3 linked regions of the Anolis sagrei genome follow. The protein of the gene in region 3 purifies or fractionates together with the protein of the main gene of each other region. This does not show direct contact. Links are inferred from orthologs where the notes say so. Each region holds a gene or a part of one and is shown on either strand. Other genes may lie near its edges. The genes, in order: HMMR, MAFF and BACH1.

Region 1 (7,301 bases), on a different chromosome or scaffold from region 3:
GGGCCTCATGACAGGAGGACCTTAGTCTTCTCTGGATTAAGCTTCAACTTGTTAACCCTCTTCCAGTCCATCACAGCTGCCAGGCACTGTTTCAGGATCCAGGTGCCTTCCTTGGAATTTGGTGGAAAGGAGTAGTAGAATTGAGTGTCCTCTGCGTACAGATGGCATTGAACACCAAACCTCTGGATGACCTCACCCAGTGGTTTCATGTAGATATTTAAAAGCATGGGAGATAGAATATAACCTTGTGGGACCCCACAAGTCAATGGCCAGTTGTCTGAGCAGGTGTCCCCCAGCTTCACCAACTGGATGCAATCCTCCAAGAAGGTACGGAGCCACTGCAAAGTAATGCCCCCCAAGACCCTTTCCGGAGAGTTGCCCTAGAAGGATAACATGGTAAATGGTATCAAAAGCCACTGAGATGTCCAGGAGAATCATCAAGAGCACACTCCTCCTGGCTAGCTCTCTGTGGAGGTCATCCACCAAGGCGGCCAAAGCCGTCTCCGTACCATAGCCAGGCCTAAAACCGGACTGCGATGAATCAAGATAATCAGTATCACCCAAGAATTCCTGGAGCCGAGAAGCCGTCACTCACTCTAGAACTTTGCCCAGGAAGGGAAGATTAGAAATTATGGTATATACGCGTTACATGTTAACAACATTTGGAAATATTTATCCCTTTTGGGACATGTTCTAGCCACCTGTGTATATTATCTTTAGATCCACCATTTCATTGTATTCTTATCCACCCGAGGAAGAATTATTATTTTTGAGAACTTGATGTCCACTTCATTGTACTCTTCACATTTCTCCACCTGAGGAAGACGTTAGTCGAAACCGGTCTGGAAATCTTCTACATGGATATCCTCTTACAAGGGACTGGAAACTCCACTCAAGAGTATCTTTCTCTAAAGTAAGGGATCTTATGCCCTTAAGAGAAGTCTGCTTTACAGCAAGAAAGACTCTACTCTTGTTACTGATGTAAAATCACTGTGTACGAACCCACACGATCTCTTCGATCATCTGGAGAGGCCCTGCTCACACTCCCACCTCCTTCGCAGGCATGATTGGTAGGGACGAGGGAGAGGGCCTTCTCGGTGGTGGTCGTTCGACTCTGGAATTCACTCTTTAAGGACATTAGACATGCCCCAGCGCTGGCTGTGTTTAGGAGGAGCCTGAAAACATGGTTGTTCCAGTGTGCCTTCCAGAATAAGGAAAACTCTAAGCAATATGTCCTCAAATGCACTTTAATATTGATTTAGGATTGTCTGCGCGCCCTCAACTTTCTTTGAAAACCCTATCCTAGTTTACCCTACCTTGTTAATGCCCAGCATTTTAAATTTTAATTATTACATTTGACCCGGCCATAGGTTTTTAAATGCTGTATGTTATTGTTATTGTTTATTGTGTATTTTTTGTTTTTGAGTTTTATTTTAACTGTTTTGTATTGATTATTTGTTATTGCCTTTGTTTATTGATGTGCTGTGGGCTTTGCCTCATGTAAGCCACACTGAGTCCCTTGGGGAGATGGTAGCGGGGTACAAATAGTATTATTATTATTATTATTATTATTATATTATAAACAAGTTTTTTGTTCATGGTATATTGCTCAATGCTGCATCATATAAGTTGGTTATACATTTAATATTGTATTATATAAGCTGGAAAAAAACATTTTCCTTTGTGATTTATGTACTACGACTTGTAGAAGATTTGTGTTTGTTAAGATTAGAAATTAGCCAGTAGTTATTCAAAACCATGGATTCTAGGGACTTCTTCAACATAGGTCTCACTATTGCCTTTTTTAGGCATGGTGGTATTTTGGAAAATGGTAACAGTGCTCCAGGCAGTCATGCTGACCTTGGAGGGACAATGCTGCCTTTTCGGCTTAGAAATGGAGATGAGCACCAACCCCCAGAGTTGGACACAACACTGGGATTTACTTTCAAGACCAAAATCTATTATTTACAGTGGCAAGGGAAAATAGTGTCACAAACATATTACCTTACCCCTTCAAAGGGCTGGGCACAGAGTTTCAAATAATGACGGCTTGATGCTTTTCCCAGCGCACTGACTGCCCCAAGCCTGTCATTTGCAAGATGGCAAGGTCAGCTATTCTCAAAATGGCATACAGCTGAATCATCCAACAACAGCAGTGGAGTTAGTAAATAATAATTCATTAAACCGTTTGTAACTTTGTTGTGTAATTGTAAGAGGGTGAAATATACTTGCTTTGAAACACCCGGCATATTACTTTTACTTTTAAGCTTTTTTGGTATTTATATTTAAATTATTGTATGTTTACTTTTAAGCTTTTTTATCGTATTTCTATTTGAATTACTTCTAAGCTTTTTATTGTATTTATATTTACATTATAAAGCAAATAAAATAAATAAATAAATAAATAAATTATTATACCATGTTTATTATTGTATGCTTGAATTGATATGTTAATTGTTTAAACTGATATGTTTTGTTTATTATTATATGTGTAATGTGGCATTGTATGCCATGGATTGTAAGCCGCCCTGAGTCCCCTACTGAGGTGAGATGGGCGGGGTATAAATGTAGAATAATAATAATATCTGTATCTATTTCTGTATTAGGAGGAAAGCAGGGTAAGACTCACCCCTCAAGCGAGGCCACTATTTCAGGCAGTGTTATATGGCTTGGGCGGGACACAAACCTACAGAGACCGCAGGTGGGTCTGCTACACTGTAGCATTAATGCAGTTTGACACCACTTGAACGGCCATGGGCTCAATGCTACGGAACCCTGGGAGTTATGGTTGCACAAGGCCTTCACGCTTCTCTGCCAAAGAGTGCTGGTGCCTTTCCATAGCGTTCAAGTGATGTTAAACTGACTTAATTTTGCAGCGTAGACGCACCCGGCAGCAACGTCTTGCCCAGCGTTTCCCCTTCTGAAGGCGAGGGAACAGAAGCCCCGCTGGCTTACCGGGAGCCTCGTTGAAGCGGCGGAGCGGGGCCCTGGGGAAGGACATGCCGGGGCCAGGCCAGCCAGGTGGGGCCCGCGGAGCAGAGAGAACGGATTTCAAAAAGCCACACTGCCGCCTCCTTCTCTTAAGTGGGCCCAACCAACCAATCCGAAAGCTCAAGCGGCGGCACGCTCCGCAAATCAGAGGTTAGCCCTGGAGCATGCGCAATAGGGAACTGCGGAAGTGAGGCGGTACCCTCTTCTCCAGCTTGGCGTGAGGTTTCGGGGCGTGCCGTGTGTTGTTTTTGCCTAGAAGAGGGAGGGAGTAGGGTGCCGCCTTGAGGGGTGTCCAATCAACCTCCACCTGCTTAGAAATTAATTTTAACAAGAACCCTCATTTAACCCTTGCCACGCGTTGCTGTGGCCCAGTCTGTTGATATGGAAAATAAAGTAATGAGAAAGTGTTGGTTTCTAAAATATGTATTTTCTTTCTGCTTGTGGGTAAACAATATTTCTTGCTGTTTCTTTGTCAGTGTTGATGTGGAGATTGTCTGGTTTGCCTACTCTGGAATATGCAAATTGTCCTTCTTTAGGGGTCCCTTTCAAATCTATACAGTCTCTGTGTGTGTGAACCATATCTATCAATCTATCTCTCTATATCTATGGCTGTATGGCTCTTTGTCAGGAGGGCTTTGATTATGTTTTCTTTCCCTGGTGAAGGGAGTTGGACTGCATGGCCTTAAGTATTTTCTGTTGGTCATGGGGGTTCTGTGTGGAATGTTTGCCCCAAATCTGTGGGTTCAGAATGCTCTTTGATTGTGGGTGAACTATAAATCCCAGCAACTACAGCTCCCAAATGTCAATGTTATTTTCCCCAAACTCCGTCAGTGTTCACATTTGGGCATCTTGAGTATTCGTGCCAAGTTTGGTCTAGATTCATCATTGTTTGAGTCCACAGTGCTCTCTGGATATAGGTGAACTGCAACTCCGAAACTCAAGGTCCATGCCACCAAACCCTTCCAATGTTTTCTGTTGGTCATGGGAGTGTGCCGCGTTTAGTTCAATGCTATCGTTGGTGAAGTTTAGAAAGCTCTTTGATTGTAGCAGGCATGTAGAAGGGGGGGGGGGGGGGCTTGAGGGGCTTCAGCCTGAAATTCTCATGGTGGTTCACGAAAAGGCCTTACTGCTGCATTATTTAAACTGTTATGTTTATTCATATCATGATCTGATCACCATACTCAATATATCCCATATGCATGGAAGTATTGGGGTAATGATACAAAAGGTTTGCTAGGCTAGACCCTCTTTCACTCAGAATCACACCCCCCCCCCCTGAAACTCAGCCCCCCCCAACCCCCCCTGAAAAAAATCAGCCCCCCCCCCCAAACGAAATCCTGGCTATGGGCCTGGATTGTAGGTTAACTATAAATTGACAAAATCAATTTTTTAAGTGATGGTCACTCCTTGGGTGAGTAGGTGTCTTGTGGCTAAATTTCGCAGCACTTTGTCCAGTGTTTTTTGCATTATGTTAATCCCACAAACGAACATTACATTTTTATTTATATAAATATACTAGCTGTACTTGCCACGCGTTGTTGTGAACAATCTTCCCTCCCTCTTTCTCTCCTTTCTCTTTCTCTCCTTCCTTCCCTTTTTTTCTTTTTCTCTCTCCTTCCTTCCTTCTCTTCCTCTTCCCTTCTCCCTTTCTTCCTTCTCTACCTATTCTTGGACTGCAACTCCCAGCAGTCCTCTTGATCGATTGATCTATGTTATCTAATCTATCTATCTGGAGGATTGCCGGGAGTTTCATAGGAAATTGGAAATATGTAGGGATTGGGATACTCTCAAAGAGATCCAAGGAGAAGAAAGCTTGCATCTTGAAAGCAGTGCATTTGGATCATCCTCCTCTCCTAAAGGGCCTGGTCTAGGAGATGCTGGAAGCTCGGAGCAGTTGTCCAAAATAGAGTGTGGATATGCTATTGTTTTGTTTGCCAGGGGAGTCATTTTTGCATATTCACTGTAGTGTCTATTTGCTTTTTTGGCTTTTTAAGTCCCTTCCGCTGTGTTTTTCAGTATTTTTATGAGTGATGGTCACTAATTGGAATGATAGGCGTATTGTGTCCAAATTTGGTGTCAATTCATCCGGTGGTTTTTGCATTATGTCAATCCCACAAACTAACATTACATTTTTATTTATATAGATATATATATTTTCAAATGAGGGCTTGTGTTAAAATGTATGTCTAAGCAGGTCGAGTTTGCTTTGACACTCCTCAAGACACACACACACACACTGTTCGGAAGCTTCAAATGGCCAAAGACTGGCAGCCAAGTTACTAACAGGAGCGGTGCCCAGGGAACACACTACTCCTCTGTTGTGTCAGCTCCACTGTATAGTTTATAATTCACGTTACAATGTAATATTACCTTTAGCCACTAGGGCTGGGCAACCACGGAAAAATTTGTTTCTAAACTCGATTCGTTTTTAGGGGGTTTTTGCGTTTCGATTTTTAAATTAATTCCGAAATTTTCCTTAATTTTTTTTTTATATTTATGAAATTTCGTAAATTACGAAATAATTACGAAACGATTTTGAAACGAATACGAATCGATTCGTTAATGGCGGACGCGACTGCGCAATACGCTAAAAAACCTCCATATGGGACAGGGGGAACTTTTGAAGCTTTCCTCTCCCTCTGTTGTTGACTGTTGGTGTGATATTTATAATTTTTTTCCACTGATTAAACAAACAACAGCTATAAAACTTGCCCCAGACATGTGGAAATAATAACGAAACAATTTCGAAAAGATTTCGAAACGAATACGAAACGAATACGAAGCAATTACGAAACGAATTGAAAAATTCGTTTCGTTTTTTAGATGCTCCTGAATGGTTCAAAATCGCTTCGTTATAAAAAAACGAATTTTTAACGAATTACGAAATTACAAAACGAAACCGCCCAGCCCTATTAGCCACTGTCTATGTCTCCTTAGGATCCACCCCTCCAGAAGACTGTTGGTGAATTTCTCACCTCAAAAGCTGAGCTTTTTGTGATAATTTGAGTAAGTGGAGTGTCTGTATATATTCTTACAAACTTGATATAACAAATTGTTCAATTGTATGTGTGTATTCATGATATGTGTTGTTTGTAGACCCAACCGCCTGACGAAGGCTCTTGTGAGTCAATACCGGTCGCAGGTTGGAGTCGATTCATGTGACTTCTGGAGTCTACTCATATGTAATAAAAAACAGGACATTTACTCACACAAAGACTTTGTTTTATACTTCAAGAGAAGAACCAGTTGTTTCTACTTAATGTGAATGTGACAGCGAATTGTGCCATTCTGTAACCCGCCTTAAGTTGCCATATGGCTGAGAAAGACGGGCTATAAATACTGTAAATAAATAAATAAATAAATATTCATTCAATGGGTTCATGACTGACACCTCTGTTTTGGGGGTGGATCTACAGTACAGGATTAAATGTAGTGTGACACCACTAAAGTGTCACTCTAACTACCATGGCTCAACCACATGGAGTCCCCGGATTTGGAATTTTGCAAGGCACTCCGTGCCAGAGAAGGCTAAAGACCTTGTAAAACCAACCAGAACCCAACTGGCAACCAACACCCAGAGGACCTTTTATCAGCCACCCCAAGGCGAAGTGCAAAGTGTTTGGTTTTGACCTTTAAAGCCCTACATGGTTTTGGTCCAGGTTATTAAAGGATTGCCTTCTCACATGCAACCCACCCCACACACTTTAGTCTTCTGGGGGGCATCTGCTTCAGCCTGCCAGGACCCGACTGGCAACCACCACTCAGAGAACTTTTTCATCAGCCGCACCAAAGACTATGGACAACCTGCAGCTAGAGCTCTGACAGCTAGATCGGCTGTCAGAATTTAAAAACCATGTAGACCTATCTCTTCAGGCAGGCCTACACAGACAGTCTTTAAGCATGACTTTTAAGTGTCCTATTTGATCTGCTTTGTGTATTTTAATATGTATTTTGTACAGATAAGTTTTGGTGTGTAGCTTTTATGGAGGTACATTTAGTGTGTGTATTTTGTAGTGTATTTTGTAGAGAGGGCGGTAAGAAATAAAATTATTATTATTATTATTATCATTATTAAAACTACAGCTCCCATATGGCTATAGTATTGAGCCATGGCAGTTAAAAGTGGTGGGTCAAACATTAGTTTTACACTGCAGGACTAAGATAAGGCAACGGGAAAACCCATTTGGCTAAATTTTGATAAGGAACTCCCCTTATAGGGTTGCCATAAGTTGGAAATGATTTCAAGGCACACCATAAAAATGCAATAATACATTTTAAATGTCCTATTTGTTCCACAGTTTTGAACCATG
Region 2 (8,100 bases), on a different chromosome or scaffold from region 3:
CAATGACTTAAATAGCAGGTGCTATTGCAGAAGAAGCACCTCTGGGTGACCTGGACAGGTGATACATGTATTACACATGAAACAGGCAAAAACAACCAAATGCTCCAAGATTTCCAGCACGTTTTGGCCTAAAGGGATTATTTTTGTTGTTGCTGTTCATGCCTTCTAGTCATTTGCAATTTATAGTGACCCAAAGGCACCCTATCACAGTTTTATTGGCAAGATTGGTTTAGAAGGGTTTGCTGTCTCCGTCCTGTTGAGGCTGCATCTCGCTCTGGCACCACGAGATGCAGAGCTCACCTTAAAAAATGGGGCTACAACGTGGAGTCCGTGACATGCGAGTGTGGAGAAGAGCAAAGCACAGACCACCTACTACAATGCAACCTGAGCCCTGCCACATGCACAATGGAGGACCTTCTCACAGCGACACCAGAGGCACTCCAAGTGACCAGTTTCTGGTCAAAGGACATTTAGTATGATGCCAAATTTTTAACTTTGTGGTTTTTCTACACAGTGTACCATCAATCTGCTTCTGATACAATAAATAAAAATCTATACTGGCGTCAATGCAGTTTCACACCTTGTTAACTGTCATAGCTCAAACTACAGACCCTGGGATGCACAACAGAAGTTGGCTGTGTGTAGCTACAAGTCCCAGGATTCCATAGCATTTCACCATGGCAGTTAATGTAGTGTCAAACTGCATTAATTCTACAGTGTAGAGGCGCCCTAAGACTCAACAAAATGGGTTTCTACACGCTACTAGGGATTTGAATCCTGGTCTCCAACTAAACCACAATATCATGCTGGATTCCTTCCTGAACCCCAACTATGACAATTAGTTATGACTCCAAAACAAAGAAACTAGTGGCCCATCCAATTTGCTTCCAGAGAGAAAAATTTGGACCCCCAGGACTTTAGACATTAAGTGTGGCTTTTTAAAACACAGTAGACTCTCGGTTAACCAAAATTCAAGTAACCAGAGATCTTAAACAACTGGCAAAAAAATCAAAGAAATAATAAATTTAATATGTATATATTTTTGCCTGAAATTTTATTTTTAGTTGAGATAAATTTGCTTTAAATTGCTGCATTTCATTAATAATATCAGGTCAAGACAAGGGTTTATGGTATAGTACGTATTATTTTTATTTATAATAGCAAATCCCAAGCAACTAGAGAATCCATTTATCCGGCTTCTATCAATCCCCGTAAGCACCTGTTAACTGAGGATGCATCTATATATTGTACAATTAGTGCAGTTTGATACCTTTTTATCTGCCATGGCTTAATGTTATGTAATAATAATAATAATAATAATAATAATATACATCACACAGTCCTAGACGCTTGGGAAGTTTGACTTGTGATTTTGTGATACGAAATCCAGCATATAGATCTCGTTTGCTGTGCCATACTGTGATTTTGTGTCAGTAAAATAATAATAATAATAATAATAATAATAATAAATACTTTCTTTATGAAATAAAGGGATCTGAAGCTGTTAGGAATGGTGGGAGTTGGAGTCCAAAACACCTGGAGGGCCCAAGTTGGCCTATGTATGTGCTATCTCGACCTACTAATTTGCATATGGTTTCTGATTGGCCAGTCTCAAAATTCTAACATTTTTAAGCAGCTGAAGGGGAAAATAAAGTGTTCTGAGGCTGCTAGGATTGCTGGAAGTTGTAGTCCAAAACACCTTGAGGACCCAAGTTGACCCATGCATAAGCTACCTCGACCTACTAATTTGTATATAGTTTCTGATTGGCCAGTCTCAACATTCTGACATTCTTAAGCGGCTGAAGGGGAAAATAAAGGGGTCTGAGTCTGTTAGGAATAGTGGGAGTTGTAGTCCAAAACACCTGGAGGGCCCAAGTTGGCTCATGCATGAGCTATTTCGACCTACTAATTTGTATATGGTTTCTGATTGGCCAGTCTCAACATTCTGACATTCTTAAGCGGCTGAAGGGGAAAATAATGGGGTCTGAGGCTGTTAGGAATAGTGGGAGTTGGTAGTCCAAAACACCTGGAGGGCCCAAATTTGTTTGGGCCTGATATAGATCCATTCTTTGGGCAGAAATAGATCCTGTGTGAAGGCATTTCCCTATTGGGTTCCCCCTCCCATTAAAGGAGGGATGGATGTCAGAACCCAAGAGAGGGAAGGAAGGGAAACCCAAATGCCATAATCAAAGCCCTCCTGACAGATGCTCGTCTGAGAATCCTTTAGACCAGTGGTTCTCAACCTGTGGGTCCCCAGATGTTTTGGCCTTCAACTCCCAGAAATCCTAACAGCCTGTAAACTGGCTGGGATTTCTGGGAGTTGAAGGCCAAAACATCTGGGGACCCACAGATTGAGAACCACTGCTTTAGACCAGGCATGGGCAAACGGTGTTTTGGACTCCAACTCCCACCATTCCTCACAGCCTCAGGCCCTTTCCTTTCCCCCCTCAGCCGCTAACCTTATAAGCCCCCCCATTAAACCCCAGTTTGAAACTGGAGCCAGCTAGGACTCCATGTGACCCAGGCCTCAACACGTGCACCCACATGGTGAACAGGAGCCATGAGTAACTCCTCTGTTATTATGCGATTTCCTGCTCTATTTTTATGTTTGTTTGTGAATGCAGCACCCTCGAGACACCAGTGGGGAAAGGCTGGAGGGAAAGGGAACCGAGTGGATTTTGGGAAGATCCAAGGAAACAACAATAAGCAACAACAATCTAAATAAATACATCTTATTTCAAAACGCCCCGGATTGGAACAAGGGAAGGAAACCACCCCCAGCCACTCCTCAAAACACAAGACATTTTCTCGCCTCTCTCTGCCATCCTGATCCAACCAAAGGGCAGAAATATTATTTTTAGATATTTTCCAGGCTCTCTCTTGCTCTCCTCATGGTCTAGCAAAAGGCATTGGGGTTAAAAGTCCCTCCTGCTGTAACTTTCCTTCCCTTCCAGAGTGACAAACCAATCTACTCACTTCTTTTGTTGACTTGTCCTCCTCCTCCTTCCTCGTTGCCCTCCTCTGCCTCCTTTTCCCCCTTCTGGGCTCTCCTGGTTTGTTTCTGTAAATAAATAACAACCAAAAAACCCCAAAAATCGCGAAGTGGATGTTTTCCCCGCGACGAGAAAGGGCTGAGCTGGGCTGCGCGCTGAGCGATCTGCTGAGTTGTAATATGAGTTTCCTGGAATTACTCACTCACAGGATTCTTTTCATTCATAAAAACACAGTCATGCGATGACATCATTCTTTCCCCTCCCTCCCCATCTTAGTGAAGGGCACGGGCGGAGCAGAGGGCAAAGGCAGGCGCCATCTTGGAGCCGGGCATGGGGGTTCTTAAAGGGACACGCACCTCGAGGTTGTGCGGCTGGGGCTGGTATTGCTTCCCATCTTCAGCACCATCCACACAACTGAATAAAATCCCACATTATCTGCTTTGAACTGGGATATAAGGCAGTGTGGACAGTTTGACACTACTTCAATCGCTATGGCTCATGAGGATTGTAGCTTGGTAAAGGAATGGCACTTTTTTGGCAGAGACAGCTTAAAACCTTGTAAAACTACAGCTTCCATGCTTTTGTAGCATTGAGGCATGGTTGTTAAAGTGGTGACAAATTGGGTTAATTCTACAGCTTAAGGAGCTGGGCACGTTTAGCCTGAAGAAGAGAAGGCTGAGAGGGGATATGATAGCCATGTATAAATATGTGAGAGGAAGCCACAGGGAGGAGGGAGCAAGCTTGTTTTCTGCTTCCTTGGAGACTAGGACGCGGAACAATGGCTTCAAACTACAAGAGAGGAGATTCCATCTGAACATTAGGAAGAACTTCCTGACTGTGAGAGCCGTTCAGCAGTGGAACTCTCTGCCCCGGAGTGTGGTGGAGGCTCCTTCTTTGGAAGCTTTTAAGCAGAGGCTGGATGGCCATCTGTCAGGGGTGATTTGAATGCAATATTCCTGCTTCTTGGCAGGGGGTTGGACTGGATGGCCCTTGAGGTCTCTTCCAACTCTTTGATTCTATGATTCTACAGTGTAGATGCACCCAGAGACGGCCCTAGGTAATTTTCAACAGGAAGCAAACAGTATTTTGCCCCCCCCCCCCCCCCCAACCAATCACTGATATATATTTTCTGTTCGTCGTGGGAGTTCTGTGTGCCATATTTGGTTCAATTCCATCATTGGTGGAGTTCAGAATGCTCTTTGATTGTAGGTGAACTATACATCCCAGTAACTACAACTCGCATATGTCAAGGTCTATTTTCCCCCAAGAGCACCTCAAGAGCGCCCCTGGGCAAAATCAGCTATGCTGCAAATGCTTACTTTGCATAATGGGTTGAGCCGCCCCTGGATGCACCTTCAATCTTAAACTGCTGTACTTGCAACAACAGTTTAAAAACGTAGTTTGGTGAGTCACCAAACTCTTCAGTAGAGAAGCCTAAGGCCCTTGTGAAACTACATTTCTCAGGATTCCGTAGCATTGAACCATGGCAGTTAAAGTGGTGTCAAACTGTATTAATTCTACAATGGAGATGCATCCATAGTTCAAAATGACACACATAATATAAATAAAAGGCATGTTTAATGTAAGTTCTAGGCATGTAATTCTGGTTACTGGGCACTGACCCAAAATGGCATGTGGATGTTGCTCTTCTGGAACATTTACATGCCCAAGCTTTGATAAGCAATAAGGAAAAGGAAGTTTAAGTCCCATGTTCTTGCTGTTCCCAAGAACTTGGTATATGAATTATATTGTCAAGATTGAAGTGGCATGTAAACAGTACATCAAAGGAAGGGCGAAAGAAACTGCATATTTGCATAAAATTTGCACATTCAAAAGCATAAATATTTACATAGGTGGACCACAGTGGGGAGAAATGGTGAGTAGGTGACTTATGTACTTGCTGTCCAGATGTTAGTTGCCGGTGCGCAATTTCGGGGCTCTGCTGGCTGCCCCTGGCTAACAAATGCACACCTTGTAGCTGGACTGCATCTGCTCTGTAGAATTAATGCAGCCTGACACTACTTTACAAGGCCTTTAGCCTTCTCTGCAAAATAATGTCACCAAATCCCAGGACTCCATAGCATTGAGCTCTGATAGTTAAGTGGTGTCTACCTGCATTAGCTCTATAGCAGGCATGGACAAACTTCGGCCCTCCAGGTGTTTTGGAAATAAGTATTTTTATCCACACACACACACACACGTAATTTTATTATAATAAATATGTACTACAAACACATTTACTAACAATTACAATTGAGACATACTTAATTTTGCAGTATTTACAATGTTTGCAATATTTACATTTTCAAAATCATTTGTTACAAAACCAGTTACAATATTTCTTCACATTTTTTCTTTCTTCTTTGGTTTCAATTACAAATACAGTTATAGTTACAAACACAATTGCAAATTCACACATATATATCTCAATTAATATATATCAAACTTTTCAAAAATGTTGAAGTCCAGATGTGTTGGACTTCAACTCCCACAATTCCTTACAGCTGGTCCAAAACACCCGGAGGGCCGAAGTTTGCCCATGCCTGCTCTGTAGTATAAAGACACTCTTGTGTGTGTCATATATATATATATATATATATATATTCAACATATCCTAGATGTTTTGGATTCCAGGTCCCAAAACCTCTAACCACCGTGCAAAGCAATAAGGATGATAGGCACTGTAGTCCCAAACACCTCCAGGGCCAATCGTTCCACACCCGTAAAATAAAGAGCACCTTCAAAGGGAAGAGTATTCATTGTCTTCCATAAAGTAGGACACATAACTACCATCATCAAAATAAAGACGTCATTCACAGTGCATGTATTTATTTACTTTTCATATTTATGTCCCAGATTATGTGTGGGCAATCCCATCACTTTCATGAACTTTTCTTAGGCAAGGAATACTCAGAGATGGTTTTGCCACTTCCTTCCTGAAATATCGCATACAGCACCTAGTATTAGTTAATGGTCTCCCATCCAAGTACTAACCAGGACTAAGCCTGCTTAGCTTCCAAGATCAGATGGGATCCGGCACCTTTAGGGTTGTAGATGATATGTCTGAGGAGGAAACTAACAAAGCCACCTCCAAGTATTCCTTGCTTAGGAAAATCCTATAAAATGCATGGGGTTGCCAGAAATCTACAGGTGACACAAAGTGTCCAAGGACATATTAGGGTGCATCTAAACTAGACATGGGCAAACGTGGGCCCTTCAGGTGTTTTGGACTTCAACTCCCACAATTCCTAACAGCCAGTAGTCTGTTAGGAAATGTGGGAGTTGAAGTCCAAAACACCTGGAGGGCCCAAGTTTGCCTATGTCTGATCTACCTATAGAATTAATGCAGTTTGACCCCACTTTACTTGCCATGATTCAATGCTGTGGAATCCTGGGTTTTGTAGTTTGGTGAAGCTCCAGCGCTATTCCTCAGGAAAGGCTGAAAGACCACGTAAAACTACAACTCCTAGTGCTCCATAACATTTAAAGTGTTGTCAAAGTGGATTAATTATACAGTGTAGATGTACCCCAATATAGTTCTCAGAGACTCCTTGAGCAACAGTCCACTATTTAGATTCAAGAATGGCATCAGTGGCAATCTTGGTAGACATCTAGTCTCCCATACTTTTGCACCCAGGTCTGGACAGCCCTAGAAAATACCTGGTTTGAAACTGGCCTAGCTGGTTCTCTTGACTGATACTAAGCAGGCCAGGTAGTGTGTGTGTGTGTGTGTGTGTGTGTGTGTGTGTATATATATATATATATATATATATATATATATATATATATCCTCAAAGCTCAGCTTCCCTCTTACACAATAGCAACATGCCTTCTCAAATGGGACTGCAGTGTGGAAATGAGTAGTAGCTTAACTAGCTGGTCTAAAAAGAGCCACAGTTACAGCCCTGCTGAGCTTTACCTGCTGCCTGAGGCAGGTGCATTAAAAACAGAAGCTATAATCTGAGCCCTAATGACTATGGTTATTAGGATTAAAATAGTCGTGCCACTTGTAAACACAAGTTTTTTAAAAAAAAGAACGAGGCTGATACAGGTGTAAACAGATGGCTGACGTATATTGTGTTTCCGTGTTCAAGTTGCCTATTTTTCTTAGGAAAGCAATATTCAGGGACGGTTTTGCCAGTTCCTTCCTCTGAAATATAGCCCATAGCAACTGGTACTTGTTGGTGGTCTCCCATGCAAATACTATCCAGGGCTGGCCCTGATTAGCTTCTAAGATCAGATCCAATCTGATATTTTTTATTGTATCTAGAGTGAACCAAGGGTACAGTTGTAATGTATTTTAAAAAACACAAATTTTAAAAACTTGGCATTATATTAAATGTCCTTTGACCAGTAGCTGGTGTTGCTATAAGATGGTCCTCCATTGTGCATGTGGCAGGGCTCAAGTTGCATTGTAGTAGGTTTGCCCCTTCCACACTTGCATGTTGTGGACTCCGCTTTGTGGCCTAATTTCTTAAGGTTGGCTCTGCATGTCATGGTACTGGAGCACAATCTGTTCAGCACCTTCCAAGTCGCCCAGTCTTCCATGTGCCCAGGGAGGAGTCTTTCATTTGGTATCAGCCATGGATTGAGGTTCTGGGTTTTAGGCTGCCACTTTTGGATTCTTGCTTGCTGAGGTGTTCTTGCGAGTGTCTCTGTAGATCTTAGAAATCTATTACTTGATTTAGCGCATTGGCGTGCTGGCATTTTAGCCTGCCACTTTTAGACTATCGCTTCCAGATCAAACTTTGTACAATCCAATCTGGTGCCTTTAGGGGTATTTCGTGTGTTAAGGGCAATCTAGTGGTACACCTACTCTGTCAAATTAATGCAGTTTGATACTACTTTAACTGCCTTGGCTCAATGCTATGGACTTGGGAGTCTTGGGAGTTGTAGCTGGGCAAGGTCTTTAGTCACCTCCGCCGATCAGTGCTGCTGCTTCACTCAAACTACGACTTCCAGGAATCCATAGAACTTAAGGTGGTGTCAAACTCCTTGGCAGAGAAGATCGACGGCCCTTCCACACAGCCCTATATCCCAGACTATCAAAGCAGGAAATTCCACATTGTCTGAATGTGGACTTAGGACCCTTCCACACAGCTGAATA
Region 3 (7,498 bases):
TTAATGGGAAACAGAAGTTGGAGCAAATATTTTCCTCCCCACTCCCCCAATGTATTTCATCAGAGTGTTTGTTAATCAAGCTGGCCAATTGCAACATTGACACTTGCCTCAAACAGATAAGAGTTCTTTCTCCCATCCTGGACATTTAACAGATATATAAACCCCACTTGCCAACGCTATGTATAATTTGAGAGAGGATGGGATAGATGGCGGTTGAAGCACGGAAACTAATGGAAATACCTTATTTTTTCCTCTATTCAGTTAGAAAATAAAAATATACAAAACCACTTCCGATATTTAGAAATATAACTGGCATAAACCCAGAGCTAAGTTTTGGATCCAACTGAGAATATTTTGGTTTTTCACGGAAAGGGGTTAGAAATAAATACACTAATTACAGCAGAATCAAATGTCACTCCAAGAAAAACAGCTGAATTATTAATATTGCTCCTAATTAGCTCAAGCATATTTGTTTTCTACCAGTAGCAGCGTATTTCTGTCAAAGCAATATAAACTGATAAATTCTCACTAATGGAAACTGGAAGAAAGCCAGAGAAGCACAAGCTTCGTTTTCTACGCCAAATTTTGTGAATGAAACCAATCCTGGTAATGGAAAGCTTTATGAGAAATTTGGGAAATAATAATAATAATAATAATAATAATAATAATAATTTCTAGACCATCCTCTCTCCTCAAAGGGCAGTTTATATACATATAAAAAGGCAAATATTCAATGCCATAATTTAAAATCACACATCATCAGGAATGCAAAATGGACAGTAATAAACTAATTACCAGAAAATAATTAAGGTTAAAGTAATACGAAATACAGCTACTTAAATAAAACTTAAATAAAACATAATTACACTAATATAATATAATTTCACAAAAACAGAGGTTGAGGTTTCTGTTGGAAACTAGGCAAGTGGAGTGTATATGTCTGTGGAAAGTTCTGGGTGGGAGAAAGAACTCTTGTCGGCTTGAGGCAAGTGTTAATGTTTGGGCTCTGCCTCTCTTCATGATCGCATCTCCACCTATGAACCTGCACGGGCTAGAAGATCTGCCAGGGCCTTCTCAGTGGTGGCCCCCTGACTTTGGAACTCCCTCCCCAAAGAGATTAGGCAAGCTCCCACACTGTCCTCCTTCCATAGGGACCTCAAAACCTGGCTGGTTTTTGAGAATGATTAGTCTGTAGGCTCTGCACTTTATCCACTTCCCTGGCCCATGATACTCTATTGCATTAGCCCTTGCCCAGGCGTTTCATAGTGGGCCATGCCCATGTTGCAATTCTGGCCCAATGGTATTTTGAACTTGTCTGATAGAGTTATAAAGGTTTTTAAATTTTTGTGTTTGTTTTAGCAGAATTTTACGTTTGTTTTATGATGTTTATTTTAATTTGTTTGTATGGTTTTCCTTTCTGGCAAATGAATGTTTTGCCTTATGTTGGAAACCACCCTGAGTCCTCTTGGGGAGATAAGGTGGTATATAAATGAAGCTTTATTATTTTTATTATTTATTTATGACATTTATATATTATTATGTTATTATTATATTATATTTTATTATATTTATTTACTACATTTATAGGCCACCTTTCTCAGCCCTAAGGCGGGTTACAGATTGGCAACCATTCGATGCCATACAGTCATAAAAATACGATTAAAACAATTAGCATAATCATATAAAAACCATTACAATCATTAAATCATATAGTCACCAGTGTTGTCCTGTTAAAATCATTTTCCAATAGCATCTTCTAGCTATTCCATGTTCAGGTGGTTGTATGATAGCTGGGTCCCCCTGCTACAAGCATTACGCTGTTTCTGCAACACAGAATGGAACACGTTACTGAGACCGGGGGGGGGGGGGGGGGCAGTGAGAGACTGAGGTAATGTAAGCCAGGTCAGACACAGATAATAACAGATAATACTTAACTCTAACACTAACCCCTAACCCTAAAATGTAACCCTTACCCTCACCCTAACCCTAATCCCAACCCTTACCCTCCCCTCCTTACTATCCTTCCTTCAAATGCAACTGAAATGGCCACATTTCTGTATACGAACCCACACGATCTCTTCGATCATCTGGAGAGGCCCTGATCACGCTCCCGCCTCTTTCGCAGGAGCGATTGGTGGGGCCGAGGGAAAGGGCCTTCTCGGTGGTGGCCCCCCGACTCTGGAACTCACTTCCCAGAGACATCAGACATGCCCCATCTCTGGCAGTCTTTAGGAGGAGCTTGAAAATGTGGTTGTTCCAGTGTGCCTTCCCAGAATAAGGAAAACCCTCAGCATTATGTCCTCAAAATGCACTTTACTACTGCTTTAGGATTGACTGCATTCCCTCATTCTCTCTAAAAATCCTATTTATTTATTTATTTATTTATTTGATGCACTTATTAACCGCCATTCTCAGCCCTTACGGGCGACTCATGGCGGTGTACAGTACACATAAAAAGACAGTTACAAAGGCCAGTATCAACAACATATAACTATACGACAAATACAAACTACATAAAAATCCGCTTCGTCTCTTAGTAGAATCATAGCCAGTCTCATCTTCCTTATACCATTCCAGTTCTCATTACCGTAATGTTGTTGCTTACCACTTAATTAAATGCCCTCTCGAACAGCCAGGTCTTAAGGCTTTTTCGAAAGGACATGAGGGAGGGCGCCTGTCTGATGTGTGCCGGGAGAGTGTTCCACAGCCGGGGGGCCACCACCGAGAAGGCCCTCTCCCTCGTCCCCGCCAGCCGTGCCTGTGATGCAGGCGGGATCGAGAGAAGGGCCTCCCCAGACGATCTCAAGGTCCTCGTGGGCTCGTAGGCCAAGATGCGGTCAGAAAGGTATTTCTATCCCAATTATATCCTACCTGGTTCACATAAGCACTATTTTTTTAATTTAAATTTATCACATTTGGCCCGGCCTTTGGTTTTAAATGTTTATATGTTACTGTTGATTGCTTATTGTCTATTTTGTTTATGTGATTATGATTTATATTGCATTGATTGTTTATTGATGTTTATTTTATTGATGTTCTGTTTATTGATGTATTGCGGGCTTGGCCTCATGTAAGTCGCACCAAGTCCCTTGGGGAGATGGTAGCGGGGTACAAATAAAGTGTTATTATTATATTATAAAGTATATTCCCGCCCTCAGTGTCTCGCTCTCCCCACTCTCACTCCGGTTCCTCTCTCCACCATGCAATCCCTTCCCTTTGCGGCATCTGTGTAGCGCTCATAGCAGGGGGACCCAGCTATCATACAATCACCCATGTTCATTATTCATAGTTTCATGTTAACTATTCCACTGCATTTCCAAAAGCTTGCTTGAAGAGCCAAGTGTGTGTGTGTATAGATAGATAGATAGATGGATAGATAATGTTCGTTCGTGGGATTAACATAACTCAAAAACCACTGGATGCATTGACACCAAATTTGGGCACAATACACTTATGAGGCCAACGAGTGACCATCACTCATAAAAACACTGGAAAACATAGCGGAAGCAACTTAAAAGCCAAAAAAAGCAAAAATATGCAATAGCACATGCACACAAACGACTCCCCAGCAAACAAAACATATAATAGCATATCCACACCCTCTTCTGGATTACAGCTCCCAGCATCCCCTTGACCAGACCCTTTAGGAGAGGAGGATGATCCAAATGCACTAATTCCAAGGTGCAAGCTTTCTTCTCCTTACATTTCTTCGAGAGCATCCCAATCCCTGCATATCTCCAATTTCCTATTCCTGGACTGCAACTCCCAGCAATCCTCCAGATAGATTACATAGAGATAGGTAGGTGGCTAGATGGATCAGGAGGACTGCTGGGAGTTGCAGTCCAAGAATAGGTAGAGAAGGAAGAAAGGGGAGAAAGAGAAAAGGAAGGAAAAGGTGGGAGGAAGGGAGGGAGGAAGGAGAGAAGGAATGAGAGAAAAAAAGGGGAAAGAAAGAGGGAAGGAAAGAAGAGGAAGAGGGAGGGAAGGTTGGTCACAGCAACGTGTGGCGGGTACAGCTAGTATGTATGTGTATGTATATATATATATATATATATATACAAACATTTATATATTATGTTATTAATATATTATAATTATTATATTATTATGTTGTAATTGGCGACCATGATTAGCATTTGATGACCTTGCAGCTTCAAAGCCTGGCTGATCGTTTTGATGTGTTTGTACAGCCCGACACTGAGGCGCGGGAAACGCCTCATGCTGGGCAAACCTCCCTTTGGGCGCGAGAACCTTGAATCAAGCGCGCGCCACTGGCGAAGGGACGCTCGCGGGGAGACCTTCGGAGCAATGACGACGCGCCGCTCTATTACCTGAGAAAACGTGCGGGGGGGGGGGGGGGTAAGAAGAAGAGAGCGCGAGAGCGACGCATGCGCATCAAAACAGAAGGGGAAGGCGCCGCGTAGGGAGGAAAGAGGGAGAAAGTGGACGTCATCGGAATCCGGCGCCCAATGAGCGCGCAGGGGGCGGAGGCGGTTCTGAGGTGGTCACCTGACTGTGGTGGGTCGGGTGTTCGCGGCGCTGGCAGGATCCGCGGTCGAGCTGGCCCTGAGGGAAGGAGGTTGCATGGCCGGCGTTCCCGGGAAGGGCCGCGCGCTTATGGGCCCGAGGCGGGTGAGTGGGCGGGCGAGCGAAGAGGCCTCTCGCGCCGTGGGAGCCGGGTCTTGAGGGAGCAGGAGCGGGGAGGGAGGAGGGGAGGGGAGGAGAGTCCCATTGCGCATGCGCACATCCCAGGACTGGAGTCCCTGAGCCTGCGCTTGTTGCCTCCTTGCTTTGGGAAGGGAAGTCCCAGTCCAGGACTGGGGTGAAAGGGGGCGTATATTGGGCACGATAATGAGGACGTGTGGGGTGGTTTTCGTTGTGGGATATCCAAGGGTGTATCTACAGTGAAGAATTAATGGCTTCACTGCCATGGCTCATGGAAAATATAGATAGCTTTACCAGGTTTTTAGCCTTCTCTGACCAAGGGCCCCTCCACACAGCCAGAACATCAAGGCAGAATAACCCACAACATCTGCTTTGAACTGGGTTATCTGAGTCCACACTGCCATGTATATATATATATATATATATATAAATATAATATATTGTATATATATGTAATATTTATAATGTAGTACAATGTAATACTAATAATATATGATATTATAATTATATATTTCATATTGCATGTAATATTACTAATAATATTACAATGTAATGGTATAGTACAATATAGTGATATATAATACTGATACTGTACTATGCTAATAATATAATATATTGTGCATATATATATATATATATATATATAAAACTTGTAAGCCGCTCTGAGTCCTCTTTGGGGTTAGAAGAGCAGCATATAAATGTCGTAAATAAATAAATACATAAATTCCAGTTCAAACCAGATATTATGGGTTATTCCGCCTTGATATCCTTGGTTATAGGGCTGTGTGGAAGGGCCCCAAGAGTCCTGCTGCCCCAACAAACTACAGATCCCATAATTCCACAGCCATGGCAGTTAAAAGGATAATTGAACCTCATTAGAGCTACAATAGATACTCCCTACACGCTAAAGTTATCCCTTAAAGCAGGCCTGGGCAAACTTTGGCCCTCGAGGTGTTTGGACTTCAACTCCCATAATTCCTAATAGCCTGAGGCCCTTTCCTTTTCCCTCTCAGCTGCTTAAGAGTCCAAAACACCTGGAGAGCTCAAGTTTGCCCTGGCCTGCCTTAAAGGTTCTGGGGAATGAGTAATAATAATTACTCATTTCACAATCTGCCTTCCTTCCAAAGCCAATGTAAACAGCTGAAAAATCAGTCATTTTTAAAAATAATTACAATTTTAAAAATTGTTAAATTATCACCAGTTTATTATGACTAATAGAGTTTCAGTGCTAGTCCAGTCTGTTGTAGCATCTCGTTGTAGGGCTAGATTGCTATTAAAGAGACTTGTTTGGGGGAATCGACGGCCTTTGAGGTTATAGCAGCAAATGCAGCAAAGATTTTAAGGACTCATAAGATTCTTTTGGTGTATAATTTTGTGCCAGCTGGAAAAGTTTATGCCAAATAACACACACAGTGACATAAGACTCATTGCTGATATTGGTTCTGAAAAGAGTTTTGTGAGAAACAGATGTTGTTGTGGTAAACCTACAGGAAATCCTGTTGCCTGAGTGGTAGTTCAACCTACTTTTTAAAAATGAGATCTTGCTTATGTCGTTTTGCTTATATTACCTTGACATCTATTATAGTATCATTAACAGCATTATTTGCATGAAGTCATGTATGAAACGTGGAGTTTTAAAAGCTTTTTCACAAGTGTTGTCGAAATCTTTCATGGCTGGAATCACTGGGTTGCTGTGAGTTTTCTAGGCAGTATGGCCATGTTCCAAAAGCATTCTCTCCTGATGTTTCACCCACATCACCTCATCACACTAGAGAATGAATTCACTTTAAATCTGGTTGCTGCCTCCTGCAGAATTCTGGGGTTTAGGGAGGAGCCTTTAACAGCTTCACTAAACTACAAACCCCAGAATTCTGTAGGAGGCAGAAACCGGTTTTTATGTGGATTCATTTGCTAGTGTGATGACGTAGTATGACAGGCATCCTCAGAGGTTGTGAAGTTTGTTAGAAACAAGGCAAGTGGGTATATGGCTGTGGAATGCCCTTCCTAGGGATATTAGATCGGCCCCCTCCCTCTTAACATTTCGCAAAAAAGTTTAAACCTGGCTTTTTGAGCAGGCATTTGCAAACTCAATATAACAGGCAACGATAGACCAAGGTTGTAAGTTTATGAGGAAAAATGGCAAAATAACATCCCAAGCAATCCATTGTGCCCCTTTCCCTCATTCTGCCTTCTCTATTTTTCTATCCAGAGTGACAGAAAGTTCTAGCTCTGTCAAAATAGCTAAATAATCAACTGAATTTCTGATCCCTTACTCCCTTGATGTGAACTTTTGCCTCTCTGGATGCTGCCAAATTATACTGCAAGCTAAACATCTCCCATTTCAAGGCAAATGGATAAAATTGGAAATAAAGCTTGAATTTAAAATCTAATGAAAAAAATTTAGGCTTGTCTCAACTTTAGTTTTATGACTACAATGAAAACTTCAAAGGTTTTGTAATAAAGGATACCATTTGATTGCTGTAGTTTTGTTTGCTATAATGGTAACTTTATTGGCATAGTCTGATATATAAAAAGTAAAGTGATGTGTGTAACGCCCAGCTCTTCCTCATTGGGACATGCATTGTGTCTTATAGAGCATACAGTATATCTTAAACCCTGATCTGCTACACCTCCATTGTCTTTCTTCACAAGGCCATTAAATTCATTAGAACATATTCAGCTTGCTACCAGTGAGTAGGTTTTTAATTCTAGCAGAAGATTCTGTTCTGCTGTGAGGTCTGAAAGTTTTGAACATTTTTGAAAGACTCATAAGGATCAAGATGCTTTGGAAGTGCCTCTCAGGTTTAAGAAAAGAAATAGTTATATAGATAGA

What was found.
Region 1: the proteins of BACH1 (region 3) and HMMR purify together in Homo sapiens (affinity purification with mass spectrometry; 6 studies listed by BioGRID and IntAct, counting the BioPlex papers as one, with this or other methods). This does not show direct contact. The link is inferred for Anolis sagrei from reciprocal best matches to the Homo sapiens genes BACH1 and HMMR.
Region 2: the proteins of BACH1 (region 3) and MAFF purify together in Homo sapiens (affinity purification with mass spectrometry; 3 studies listed by BioGRID and IntAct, counting the BioPlex papers as one, with this or other methods). This does not show direct contact. The link is inferred for Anolis sagrei from reciprocal best matches to the Homo sapiens genes BACH1 and MAFF.

Annotation. Positions count from the first base shown.
Region 1 is NC_090022.1:109,445,608-109,452,908, forward strand, and holds the start of HMMR (hyaluronan mediated motility receptor), read right to left. Parts: upstream 3,094-7,301; 5' UTR 3,002-3,093; coding exon 2,956-3,001; intron 745-2,955; exon of another isoform or gene 730-744; coding exon of another isoform or gene 702-729; intron 1-701. UniProt on the Homo sapiens protein: Receptor for hyaluronic acid (HA). Involved in cell motility. When hyaluronan binds to HMMR, the phosphorylation of a number of proteins, including PTK2/FAK1 occurs.
Region 2 is NC_090025.1:164,302,879-164,310,978, forward strand, and holds the start of MAFF (transcription factor MafF), read right to left. Parts: upstream 3,061-8,100; 5' UTR 2,977-3,060; intron 1-2,976. UniProt on the Homo sapiens protein: Since they lack a putative transactivation domain, the small Mafs behave as transcriptional repressors when they dimerize among themselves.
Region 3 is NC_090023.1:68,168,990-68,176,487, forward strand, and holds the start of BACH1 (transcription regulator protein BACH1), read left to right. Parts: upstream 1-4,483; 5' UTR 4,484-4,632; intron 4,633-7,498. UniProt on the Homo sapiens protein: Transcriptional regulator that acts as a repressor or activator, depending on the context. Binds to NF-E2 DNA binding sites. Plays important roles in coordinating transcription activation and repression by MAFK.